Linked DNA regions of Caenorhabditis elegans. The protein of the gene in region 1 purifies or fractionates together with the protein of each later gene. This does not show direct contact. Each region holds a gene or a part of one and is shown in the gene's direction. Other genes may lie near its edges.

What was found. The genes of interacting proteins can lie anywhere in the genome.
Region 2: the proteins of ctsa-1.2 (region 1) and tald-1 fractionate together in Caenorhabditis elegans (co-fractionation; one large-scale study listed by BioGRID). This does not show direct contact.
Region 3: the proteins of ctsa-1.2 (region 1) and ndk-1 fractionate together in Caenorhabditis elegans (co-fractionation; one large-scale study listed by BioGRID). This does not show direct contact.

The regions. Positions count from the first base shown.
Region 1 is NC_003280.10:11,737,469-11,743,399, forward strand, and holds ctsa-1.2 (Serine carboxypeptidase ctsa-1.2), read left to right. Parts: upstream 1-1,889; 5' UTR 1,890-2,052; coding exon 2,053-2,108; intron 2,109-2,213; coding exon 2,214-2,433; intron 2,434-3,128; coding exon 3,129-3,521; intron 3,522-3,649; coding exon 3,650-3,999; intron 4,000-4,229; coding exon 4,230-4,395; intron 4,396-5,099; coding exon 5,100-5,279; 3' UTR 5,280-5,408; downstream 5,409-5,931.
Region 2 is NC_003282.8:4,384,735-4,389,425, forward strand, and holds tald-1 (Transaldolase), read left to right. Parts: upstream 1-1,916; 5' UTR 1,917-1,923; coding exon 1,924-1,987; intron 1,988-2,698; coding exon 2,699-3,062; intron 3,063-3,447; coding exon 3,448-3,821; intron 3,822-3,873; coding exon 3,874-4,031; 3' UTR 4,032-4,146; downstream 4,147-4,691. Other genes in the region: F55F10.1 (Midasin), read left to right, coding at 1,386-1,517; rpl-7A (Large ribosomal subunit protein eL8), read right to left, coding at 4,442-4,610, 4,665-4,691.
Region 3 is NC_003279.8:10,552,574-10,555,460, reverse strand, and holds ndk-1 (Nucleoside diphosphate kinase), read left to right. Parts: upstream 1-1,547; 5' UTR 1,548-1,666; coding exon 1,667-1,719; intron 1,720-1,800; coding exon 1,801-1,894; intron 1,895-1,952; coding exon 1,953-2,267; 3' UTR 2,268-2,342; downstream 2,343-2,887. Other genes in the region: cert-1 (Ceramide transfer protein), read right to left, coding at 1-32, 401-520, 571-736, 811-824; F25H2.4 (MPN domain-containing protein), read right to left, coding at 2,536-2,704, 2,755-2,887.

The DNA.
Region 1 (5,931 bases):
GTACTCATTCTCTTCATATCGACTATTACAAAGTGTATGACAGAATCCTCTCTCTCTCGTCGTCATTGTCATAGAGAGACCGGTTTTTCACTCCCAAGGACCTGCGTCTCTTCAGGATTACCCACTCTCTCGTCGGTTCTTCGAGGCTTGCCCAACTTTTTGACAATCTTTCGGTAGAATGGTGATGATGATGATCATCATCGAAAAATAGTTTCAAAGTAAATTGTATAGAATTAGAAAAGTAAAAGAAATGAAGAAAGTGTTGAGAGATGCTTCAAAACATGTTTTTATGGGGTGCCGCTCAGGGATTTGGGTTTGTCGGAATTTGAAGTTGAGACGGGATTTTGTTTGAACAAATCATGGTGAAGATTTTCAATTTTTCTAAAGATTTTATATGTTTCAGTCCAAGTTCTGGGGGGGGGGACACTTTGAGATGAGCTTATAAAAAAAATATATATTCAAAATCTGAAATTTCAGAAAGAATACTTTTTTTGTTTTCTGATTGCACAATTTTTCAGCCTTTCGATTGCGATTGTTTAGCTGAAATTTATTTAATTTTCTTTATAAATATACTTTAACATTCCTTGAACATTAACAAAAATTATTAAAAACTTGAAAAAACTAAAAAAAAACCAACCTCCAACCTTAAGCTTACGTTATAATTAAGCCTAAGTAGAGCTTAAACCTAAGCCTAAGTCTAAGCCTTAGTCTAAGCCTAGTCCTAAGTCTTAGACTAGGCCTAAGCGTAAACCTGAGCCCATACTTAGCCTTAGCCTATGCCTAAACCTACACCTAAGCCTAAGACTAAGCATAGGCTTGATCTTAAGCCTAAGCCTAACCCTAAAATTCTAATCTTTTTCCAACTCTTCCCCTAACTTTCTTCCTTCCCTTCAAATGACTTTCATAAATTGTGCACAATAATTATGAAAACTACGTTTTTCGTGAATGATTCTTATCATAAATGTGTCTGCAATAATGATAATCCCCTCAACTTTGCCCCAAGATGAACTGTTTTTTGCTGACAATTTTGTAATTCCACGAAGAGCACTGACGTCAGTTGGAGAAAATTGCACACGAGGCTATAAAATCGAAAGTTGGTTTCAGAAGAAAAAAAACATACTACAGGCGGATGTTGTCGTCTGATAAGAGTTTAGCAATAAAAATTCCAAATTTCTGCAGAAAAAACAATTATAGTTTTTGAGGAAAACTTTCTAAATTTTCCAGCGTGTATATATTTCCGGTAAACGTTAAAAACAAAATAAAAACAAGTTGAATCATGGCCTTGATAAAGAAAGAGAGAGTTCTTGGTGCACATATCTCGGTTATTTTCAGTGCTATCAAAAATATGTCAACTACAAAACTATAGATTATAATATGACGCATAAGTTTGTAGTTAAAATTTTTTGATTAAATCAATGAGCACAGAGATATGAGCTCCCAAACTTACTGTCAGTTTTTTCTAACATGTTGGAAGCCGTAAGACGTCGGCCGCTATTACACGTTGTTGGAATTATTGTACTACAATTTTAAAGATTCTATTTTGTTTTACATGTCCTATAAAAATAAAAGCCCCCTTGAGCCTGTAAAATGCCAGCCGCTTTTACTCAGATTGGCAGATTGAAACATTGTAGAAGTTAGAATAAATAAATTAGCAATTGAAAATCCAAATTATCAATTAAAAACTAATTTTTAAAAAATTTAAAAATGTTTCTGAACCAATTTCTCGAAAAATATGAACTCCCGCAGGTTACAACTTTTGTTTGAAGAGAGGTACGTGAAGTGCATCCCACTTATCTTGCACTAAAACAATCCCCACTTTTCTCTTGGCTGCCTTCTCCCGGATCCGAACTTGATGATGTTATCAACTTATCAGTACAGTTTCAAAAGATAGAGATTCAGACGCGACGATGGGCACAATCGGCTTAAAACATCAGATGATAAGCTGAAAAAGTGATAAGGTTATAAAAATGCGGGACAGACTCCTCCTATTCTGTCACTATATAGTCCGTATTAGGAAAAGTACGGTTTCTTCTGATTTTTATCACAAGAAGGATGGTCATGAGCAGGACACTTGTACTTGTGGCGCTCCTCGGCTTCGCATATGTTTGGTAAGTAACCTTTAGAAGGCTTCTAAGCTTTCATGCCTGCCTACCGCCTATTAAAAAATTAAAATACAAAAAACCTAAAAACAACTGTGTAGTTTCTCATTTCAGCGAATCCGCTCTGATCACAAATCTCCCTGGAGCTCCAATCTCAAACTTCAAGCAATATTCGGGCTACTACAATGTGGGAACCAAGAAGAATCATATGCTCCACTACTGGTTCGTCGAGTCTCAAAGCAACCCATCAACTGATCCAGTTCTTCTCTGGCTTACCGGTGGACCAGGATGCTCCGGATTGTCAGCTCTTCTCACCGAGTGGGGACCATGGAATGTGAGTTTGAGGGGAGCGGAAAATTGCGCAAAAAGCTAACATTTTAGCTACAAAATATTGTGGATAAATTAACATGTAAGGTAAAAAAGAGGTTCCAAAAAATAGGTTCGTGTTATTTGAAAAATGTATAGCTACAATATTCTATAGTTCCTCTGAGTCTTCGTGCCCTGAAACCCAATTACTCCATTTTCCTATATTCTTGTGAAAATATGTTTTTTTTTATTTCTAACAATACCACTATCACTGATAATATTCCGTTGTTTTTACTTCTAGTTTTCATGTTTTTTTTTCTCGCCCACCTACCGATTTTCTAGGGACACTATATATGTCAACTTTGATGGCTCTTATCTCTACCATTTTCAATTTATCAAAAACCGCCAACTACTTATAATGTGCATCACATTGTGATCTACACTTTGTAGTTTACAAATGTTTGATAAATTTTAAAATAAGCGAGATACAAACTATTAAAAAAGTATATATTGTTACCATAAAAAATTGTGTTTAAAAAAATTGCCGTTAGAAATTTTGTTTTAAATCGTGAATTTTTGAAAATGTACGACATCGAAATATTTTAAGAAAAGTTATTTCTCAAGTGACATCTAGAAACATGTCACTTTTGCTGAAATTTAAGCAAACATAAAAGGTAGAGAAGCACCTACAAAGAAGATTTATTAACAGTTTTGTTTTTCCAGGTCAACACCGACGGAGCCACCCTTCGCACCAATCCATACTCCTGGAACAAGAATGCCTCAATTCTCACCCTTGAAGCTCCAGCCGGAGTTGGATACTCTTACGCCACAGACAACAATATTGCAACCGGAGACGACCAGACAGCCAGTGAGAATTGGGAAGCCCTCGTCGCTTTCTTCAATGAGTTCCCACAATACAAGGGAAACGATTTCTATGTGACTGGAGAGTCGTACGGTGGAATCTATGTTCCAACACTTGTTCAGACTATTTTGGATCGTCAATCACAATCTCATATCAATATTAAGGGACTCGCAATCGGAAACGGATGTGTTTCAGCTAACGAGGGAGTTGACTCACTTGTCAACTTCTTGTACCATCACGGAGTTGTTGATCAGGTTGGGGCAGTTTTGAATATTTGAAAATAGGAAGCCTAAGCCTAATTCTAAGCCTGAACCTAAGCCTCATTTTAAGCTCAAACCTAAACATACGCCTAAATCTATTTTCAATAAAAAAACACTTCCAGGCCAAATGGGAGCACATGAAGACCTCGTGCTGCCACAACGACACTGATGCCTGCCCATGGCACTCGTTCAGCGAGTTCTCGGCCTGCGGAGAATTCGTTGAAGCTACCCAACAGACCGCCTGGAACGGAGGTCTCAACCCATACAACATGTACGCCGACTGCATCTCCACCAGCGCAAGCTTCCGTTTCGGAATGGAGTATGAGAGAAGATTCAATAAGAAGTACACACCAGAGGTTCTTGGAACCGTTCCATGTCTTGATGAGAGCCCAGTAACCAATTATTTGAACCGTCAGGATGTGCGTAAGGCACTCGGAATTCCATCTTCTCTTCCAGCTTGGTCGATTTGCAGGTAAGATTCTAAAATTTTGCATTGTGTAAAAACCTATATATCTCAAAATCTACAAGTGTTAAAAAAAGGTTGTCAACTAACAAATTAAAGCTCTTAAAGTTTTGCACATTTTGCCGACAACTTTTTTGTATGTCCAATAGCAAATAAGATATACCTTTTCCAAATATTTTACTCAAAATCGGTGGGCGAATTTGCCTACATGCTCCACAGTAAAATGATATTATTTCCAGTAACGCCATCTCGTACGGTTACAAGAGACAATACGGAGACATGACTTCCCGTGTTCTGAACGCCGTCAACAACAACAATCTGAAAATGATGCTCTACAACGGAGACGTCGATTTGGCCTGTAATGCTCTTATGGGACAGAGATTCACTGACAAGCTCGGTCTTACGGTAGGCTATTTTATGTTTAAAAGTTTAGAGGCGCAGATGTTTTTTAGTTTTTCGTGATTTTCAATACTACGGTACCTAGTTTTGACACGATCGATTTTTTAAATGAAAAAGGAGTGTGCGCCTTTAAGGGGTACTGTAGTTTTTTCTCAATTTAGTCTCATTTTTAGTAAAAAGTTCGAAAAACGGGAATTAAAAATTTCAAATATTTCAAAATGCATGAAATTGTGAGAAAAAATCATGAAACAGCAAAGCAAATTTCAAAATTTCGAGCTACAGTACTCCTGAAAGGCGCAAAATCTTTTACATTCAAAAAAAAATCAATCGCTTCGAGACCGGGCACCGTATTTGTTTGGGCATAAACCACAGTTTTTGCTTTTTTCAATAAAAAGATATCTATATATTATCCAGACCCAAAGTTTTTCCAAACAATACGGCGCCGGGTCTCGACACGATAAATTTTTGTTGAATGAGCGAAGCTGTGCGCCTTTAAAGAGTACTGTAGTTTCAAACTTCCGTTGCTGCGGATTTTTCATCGAAAATTATTTTTTTGAAAATATTACTCTTTAAAGGCGCACATCGTTTTGCATTCATAAAAATTGTCGTGTCGAGACACCGGGTACCGTATTTTTAAACAATAAGCTCTCAATCGCTGCGAGACCCAAGATTTTTAATGTTTTGTAAAAATTCCATAATTTAATTTCCAGCTCTCCAAGAAGAAGACCCACTTCACTGTGAAGGGTCAAATCGGTGGATACGTGACACAGTACAAGGGATCCCAGGTGACATTCGCCACTGTTCGCGGAGCCGGACACATGGTACCAACCGACAAGCCAGCCGTCGCCGAGCACATCATCCAATCGTTCCTGTTCAACAAGGCCTTCTAATCGTTAGGAGAACAATGATAATAATTTTGAAATAAATGTCTGAAAAACTGAGCTCACAAGAGGTTATAAGGTTCCAGCAATTTATAAGAATTTGGAAATTGAAACAATAAAAAAGAATAAAAAGGGAAATAAGATTTTTTGGGTGTTTTGGGGAAAAGAAGAGATGGGGGGATGGGGGATGTTCATTTTTCAAGAATTGTGATGGATTAAACAGATGTGGGGGGTTGAGGGGGAGAAGAGAGGAAAAGAAGTGGCAGCTATCCGAATAAATGAGAACTTTTTTATCTTTAATTTTGCGATCGGAAGAACTTACAAAATCACGGTGGTAGGAGAATTAAAAGAAATTAGAAAAAAAAACTTAGGGGGTTTTGTGTGTGTGAAAAAGTTGAAAACGGTCTGGAAAGGGATCGATGGGATACATAGAAGACAAAAAAAAGAGGTGAAGATTTGTGGGGGGAGTCAATTAAATTAGTGTAGAAGACGAGAAATGAGAGAAGATGATACCAGAAATAGAGAAAAAAAGAAGCTTAAATAATTATATATCGGGAGGAAATAATAATTAGAATGGATCTCATATTGTGCTTTTCTTGATGTGGGGGTTTTAGGATTAGTGATGCGCGTGGCGTTCGCTTTTCGATTTCAAAATTGTACT
Region 2 (4,691 bases), on another chromosome or scaffold:
TTTTCAGATGTTATTTTGAACGATTTAATTTTTAAAAAACTAATAAATCGAATAAAATTGAAAAATCGATTTTTTTAACCCGAAAATTTTCTAAAAATTGATTCAGATAGAATTTCGCAAATTTTCATTCAAAAAATCACATTTTCAACATTCCAGGATTTTTTTAGCTAGAAATCGGGGCAATTTAGTGAAAATTTGCCAATTTTGGTTTAAAAAATCAACATTTTCACCCAAAACTTGTAATTGGCATGTTTAAAATTTCAAAATCAGACGATTTCAGTTGAAATCTGCTATTTTTGACTGGAAATATGTTTTTTTTCAAAAATATCCCAGTTTTAGATTATTATGGGTATTTTTTAAAGAAAAATCCAATTAAAAAAATATACATTTTCCATTTTATTTGAAGTTACACTCTGAAAAAAAAATTGTTTTCGAGGTGACGTAGCACCATGCATTTTCAACATTTTCCTCCAAAATTAGTGTCAAAGTATAGAAAATTAGTTGATTTATCTGAAAATGACATTTATTCGACTGAAAATTTGAGAAATTGCTCAAAAAAGGCCAGAAAGTTGACAATTGCCGAAATTAGTCAACTTTCAAGCCATTTCTGGGCATTTTCTCGAAGGCTTCAGCTGAAATTAATGTTATTTTCAAATAAATCGAGTGATTTTTCATATTTTTAAACTAATTTCAAGTTGTAAAAATGTTGGAACAACATGGTGCAACAGACCATTTTCTAGAATTGCCGCTCATTTAAAATACCCAAAAAATGTGTGAAATTTGATCATATTTGACTACAAAAAACGTTTTTTTTAATTTTAATTTTTTAAAAACTGGTAATTTTCCATTCTCGATATTGAACAAACGCCGAGGTTACGGTAATTATAGGATTTTCAGCAAAAATTTGCTTTTAAAATTACAAAAGTTTTTTTTTCGTTATTTCAGTCTTCTATGGCCGATTATTTGTATATTTTTAGGTCTGAAATTTAAATTTCAGTAGACTTTTTTGGCATTTTGACGATTTTCGCTTCAATTTTGACCTAAAAATCGATAATTTCACATTTTTAAATAATTTTTTGCGGAAAACTGTCTGAAAATGTGAGAAATTGTGTTTAAAATAATATTTAAAAAATGAAACAAAAAATTGAAACTAGGTCAAAATATTCGAAAGGAATTTCGCAAATAAATTTCAAAACTCAATAAATTTTCCAATTTTTGAAGATTTTTCCTTTTTTTCGTGTTAAAATTCCCAAAAAAATGTGTGAAATTTGATCATATTTGACTACAAAGAACAATATTTACTTTCTTTTTTTTCTCGAAAACCCCCCGATTCTCTTGCCATTTGCCCCCATAAAACTGCTGACAATTTCCAATTTTTCCTGCAGGTACTCACGCCATACCTCGCCCTGTTCCCGTTCCCATTCTACGCTCTCGTCAAATCAGTTCAACAACTACCATCGGTGATTGCCGAATCGATTCGTCAATGGTTCGAAATGACGACGACACATCATAGTTGAGAGGCTACAAACTACAGACTGCAAACTACACACATTTAGTCATATTCTTGTTTTTTTGTTACTACTTTACTTTATACCTTTTTATCATCATTTTTGTTACTTTTTTTCGAAAACTGTTTTTCTCACTTCCCTACTCCTTTTATCGTCATTTTTTTATGAGTTGTTACTTTTTTTTTGAAATTTTCCCCCTTTTTTGTTATTTTTTGTTCATTGTTCATTGTTTTCACATTGGTTAGTCGAATTATCATTATCATTATATCTATTAAAAATTTGAAATTTTTTTGATACGGTTTTTGTTATCTTTGATGCTATCAATGGGCTGCACTTTCCATTCGATCTCTCTCACGCGATTTTTCCCGTAATTTTCACGATTATTGATTTTTTTTTGACTTTTTCTAGGGAAATCATGTCGGTTTTGGAACAACTCAAAGGAGCATCAGTCGTTGTTGCGGATACTGGAGATTTTAATGGTAAAAATTTTGAACATTAAGAAAAAGTTCGAAAATGTGGTGAATAATTGATTTTTTTTGGCAGTTTTGAAAAAAAATTAAATTATCTGAAAATTCGATTTTTCTAGGAAGACCACTGTTATAATGTAAAAAACAGTAAATTTCTCGATTTTCAGATAGAAATCTGACTTTTTGAACTTTTTAAATTAATTTTTTTAGAGAAAAAAATACATATTTTCAAGAAGTTTCCAAAAAATTCGTTAAAACATTTTAAAAATAAATACTATTAAATTTTATGGAAGTATTGTAAATTTCTGGAATGTGCCATTTAAAAATTAGAATTTTTCAAAAATTCCAAAAAAAGCTGTGAAAAACTTTTTTTGGATAATTCGATGAATTCTCTTTTTTCTAAATTTTTGTAAATACTGGTGAAAAATATTTATTTTGAAAAAAATGTGTTTGCGCCTTTCAAAAGTACAGTACCCAGACGTTCCTTCAATTTCGTTTTTTTTTTCATTTTTCAACGTTTTCTCTCAAGAATTTAGATGAAAAGCGTGAAAAATTAATTTAAAAAATCAGGAAATGGGTTACTGTAAGTCTTAAAGGCGCACACCTTTGTTTTTTTCCTCGATTTTGTGTAAAAAGTCAAAAATCGAAAAATAAAACTCGAATTTTCCAGTTGAAAAAAGTACTTTTTTCAAAAATTGTTCTCAAAAAATCGATTTTTTTCAGCGATCAAGGAATTCCAGCCAACAGATGCAACTACCAACCCATCGCTCATCCTGGCCGCCTCAAAAATGGAGCAATACGCAGCATTAATCGATCAATCAGTTGCCTACGCAAAAGAGCACGCCAGTGGACATCAAGAAGTGCTCCAAGCGGCTATGGATCGACTTTTTGTAGTTTTTGGAAAAGAAATCCTGAAAACTATTCCAGGAAGAGTTTCCACAGAAGTTGATGCTCGTCTTTCATTTGATACTCAAGCATCGATTGATCGGGCTCTTGGACTTATTGCTCAATACGAGAAGGAAGGAATCTCGAAGGATCGGATTCTTATCAAACTTGCTTCAACTTGGGAAGGAATTCGGGCTGCTAAGTACGGCATTGGAGATTTTAGGAAAACTTTTCAGTTAAAAAACTTTTTTTTAAAAATCAAACTTGATGAAATTTTACCCATTTTTGATGATTTGCTTGGTTTAAAACACTACTAGTTTCGAAAAAATCAATTAAAAAACGAATTATACAAGATGAAATTGTTAAAAATTAACACATTTTAAATTAAAAACTAGAAATGCTTCGATTTTTCTTGTAAATCACCTAAAATCTACGGACATACCTTTTCGAAACATACAAAGTCTCGTTTCTATTAGTTTTCTACTGAAAATCTACTCAATTGGACCCAAATTGACATTTTTCAAAAGAGTTTAAGGCATTAATTATAACGGAAATAGTTCAAAATCAGCAAAAAATTAAATTTTCAGATTCCTCGAATCTAAGCACGGAATCCACTGCAACATGACACTGCTCTTCAACTTTGAGCAAGCAGTCGCGTGTGCCGAGTCAGGAGTCACCCTAATCTCGCCATTCGTCGGAAGAATCATGGATTGGTTCGTGAAGAATACCGATCAGAAGGCCTACACTCGAAAAGACGATCCAGGAGTTGTCAGTGTTACTCGAATCTTTAATTATTACAAGAAATACGACTATAAGACACAAGTGATGGCTGCCTCGTTCCGTAATACTGAAGAGATCAAGGGACTTGTTGGATGTGATCTTCTTACTATTTCTCCGGCTCTTCTGAAGCAACTTGCTGCGGAGACGGAACTTGCTCCAGTTGTGCTCTCCACTTCTCATGGTGAGCGGGAGATTTAATCAATTAAAAATTGCAATTTTTAATTATTTTCCAGCCAAGACACTCGACCTGCCGAAAGTGAGCATTGACGAGAAGGCGTTCAGATGGGCTCTCAACGAGGACGCCATGGCCACCGAGAAGCTCGCCGAAGGAATCCGCAACTTTGCCAAAGACGCCAGAACTCTGGAGAAGCTTATCGAGGCAAAGATCTAAATTGTATTGATTGATGTATTTGTCGTGCTTACTAGTTTTCCCCAATTTCATCAGTGTTGTGATTTCCCCTTAAATATTTCGTTACGTATTTTAATGAACCCTTATGTAATTTAAAGAGCACTGTAAAGGCAAGATACACAAAATAGCCGAACTCTTATCGCACTCTGCAAGTTTCTGGACAGTTGTGGCTGTGACACCCGGAATTGAACCCAACTAGAATTGTTCAGTGAAACCATATCGCAGACAACCAGCAAGCTCCAAGACAACGACGAACTAGGGAGACACTTCTCGGGAAAACTGTTCTCAACAATATCCAACAAGACCGATCCAAATGAGTACCACGAAGACTACCAATTATTGAAAAAGATACAAGCTTTGAATAACAAGTTTTTATTATCAACAAAAACAATTTAGAGCTTTCCAAGATCACGGGCACGAGCGCGCTCGATCTTGAGCTTCTTGGCATCAGACTTGGCGGACATGACACCTCCTCCCCAGTGCTTGCGGATCTCCTCGTGACGCTCGCTGAAGTTGTTGTTGACGGTCTCGACGAGCTTGTTCAAGGCAGATTTGTCCTCTCTGAATACAAAGAAATAATTATTTGCTCAAGAAACTATAGAATCTGAAACTTACGGGTTGACATCGACGAGAGCAACAGCG
Region 3 (2,887 bases), on another chromosome or scaffold:
CTAGTCGAGCTATAATCCGAATCGTTTTGTACCTGAAAATTATTGATTTTCCCATTGAAGTTTTAACTTGATTTCTCTGATTCTAAAAGTAGAATTTCGAAGTGAACGATTTTTTATATTTTATAGCCTCGTACTATTCCCGAACTTTCAATTGACTTTTGTGTGCCACCGTCCGTACTATATATTTACACGGGATGACAAAATCAGGTAAAGATCAACAATGGTGTTTTTGATGTAAAAAGGAACATAAGAGAGGTGTTTGAACTATGATCGGAGCATATTTAAACGAAGAATATACAACTTTTTATCTCGTAATTACTCCGAGAGAATCGCTGGGGAAGTAATTTTTTGAAAAAATTATGTTTTAAAAATACCAAATTCAGATTCAGAAAACACTCACTGTTTCCCGGACAACTGATCGCATCCATAGAAGTTTTGACTGTGAATTCTCTGCTTTCAAATACCAGACAACGTTTTCGCCCATAGATATTGAGAATTCGTTTTCATCAAATTCGTGGGCCTAAATTTTTAAATATACAAGAACTTTCTGAGAAATCAATAAAAGCTCACAGCTATTATTGCACTTTTGAGAAATATGCTTCCTCTGCATCCGTGGGATTTTTCGGCTTTTGACAGATAATAAACAAGATTTCCCTCTGTGATTTCAAAGTATCGATCTTGCCATCCATTCACGTAGTTTGTCCATTTTTTCATCACCCCATTCGTGGGAAGGACACTGGAATGAGATAAATTATATTAGAATTTATCATTGAAACAATTTCTGTAATTTAAAATATCTACAAAACTCACACTTCGCTCTCCATCGGCTTCGTTCGCGAATCAGCAGGTGATAAATGATAAGACAGAGGCTCTCTTTCCGAGAGACTTTCCCCGTTTCGATACAGTTTTGCTCTCACTTTGTTCTGCAAACAAAGCTCACGGTTTGGTAGGCAAACAGTTAAATGGTAGTCGATGGCAGAAAAGAAAGAGTATAGACAACCTTACATTTAGTCGATTCTAAACATAGGGCGTCGAAGGTGGCGAATATGGGAGAACCGGTTTCCTTGTACTGCAAATAGTTTTGTGAAGTAGTGTCTGAAACGAAAAAAGAAATTTGCGGAGCCAGGTCATCAAGCATGAAATAAAGTTCGACGCGTAACGAGGCACAATAGTTTAATGGGAATATGCAGAGCGTTTGTGCTTGTTGCATGGAGACACGAAAAGCAGACATAAGTCATAGAACTTGAGACAAAGTGTAATAAACTATTTATGTCACACGCGTTTTTTCAGATATCAAATGCAGCGATTCACTTCTCAATGTGTTTTGACGTTACAGGTGACGTTAAATTCCGATTTTTGTTCAATAATCCCGATGAAATTTCATATGAAGAAAACCAGTTTGACAGAACATAATTCTCGCAAAAGGTTCAATTGGTGTCCAAAAAAATTGGTCGAAAACAGTGGTCAGTAAAGGCGCTCCATTGCAATTCTGGCACAAAGCCAAGAATGCTGCGAGGTCGGGTCTCGCCACGTGCTGAAGTACGGTTACACTCGTTTCATTTGTGTCGGAGTTGATTGAATGGGCGCCGGCGGGTTATTCTTTTCACTTGCGTTCGTCGCTGTCGCCTGTGCTGTTGACACCTGTTCCAAGTTGGATTGTCCGAAAATGAGCAACACTGAGAGAACCTTCATCGCCATCAAGCCTGATGGAGTCCACCGGTTAGTTATCTTTGAAGAAACTTATTCTAGCATCCTCAATGGATTTTAGGATTTTCAAAATCCTAATTTTTTAAATTTCAGTGGTCTCGTCGGAAAGATCATCGCTCGTTTTGAAGAGCGCGGATACAAGCTTGTTGCTCTCAAGCAGATGACCGCCTCCAAGGCCCATCTTGAGGTACGTTTTCACGAAATTACAAAATTTTAGGCCCAACCAGTTAAATTATTATTTTTAGGTTCACTACCAAGACCTCAAGGACAAACCATTCTTCCCATCCCTCATCGAGTACATGAGCTCTGGACCAGTCGTCGCCATGGTCTGGCAAGGACTTGACGTCGTCAAGCAAGGACGTTCCATGCTCGGAGCTACCAACCCACTCGCTTCCGCCCCAGGAACCATCCGCGGAGACTTCTGCATCCAAACCGGACGCAATATCTGCCACGGATCCGATGCCGTTGACTCTGCCAACCGCGAGATTGCTCACTGGTTCAAGCAGGAGGAGATCAACGACTACGCCAGCCCATTCATCAACTCATGGGTCTACGAATAAACTGATTGCTTATGTCTCCCGGTGTTTTCACCGTTTTCGTATCTCTGCTGAATGTTGATAAAGTATTGCTTCCCACCTAAAACATCGTTTTTGTTGACATCTATTCCTGCGCATTCTCTAATGCGTTTTCATGGCAACCAATCCTACACGACTCAGCTGTCATCAAATCTTTTATTCAACCCGAAAACGGAAGGGGATTAAACATATAATATATTCAGATGACTGCAATAAGTTATGAAAACACGAATTAGGATAATAATTTCAGCTTTTAAGCTCTGAATTCCGCCACTTGCACGAGTTTGTTGCTCAGATTTGTGTTATAGAAGTCGAACTCGGGATTGTCCAAATGGTTTTCGAAATCGGAAAGCTCTCGGTACAACTTCTTCTGAATAACAGCTTGAAGGCCACGCAAGAAGTTGGAACCTTGGAAAATCGTTCTGAAATGAATATACTAAATGAATATATAACATCAAATGTTTTTTCCTACTTCGTTTCTTTCCAACTATCTCCATCTTTTTCATATGCCACGAGGCGGTCTTGTTCACAATCTGACACCAGTCTTTCGTTCATCACTTGTACGAGAATCGCTGCCGAAGAGGTAACAGAAGATATTCTGTCGG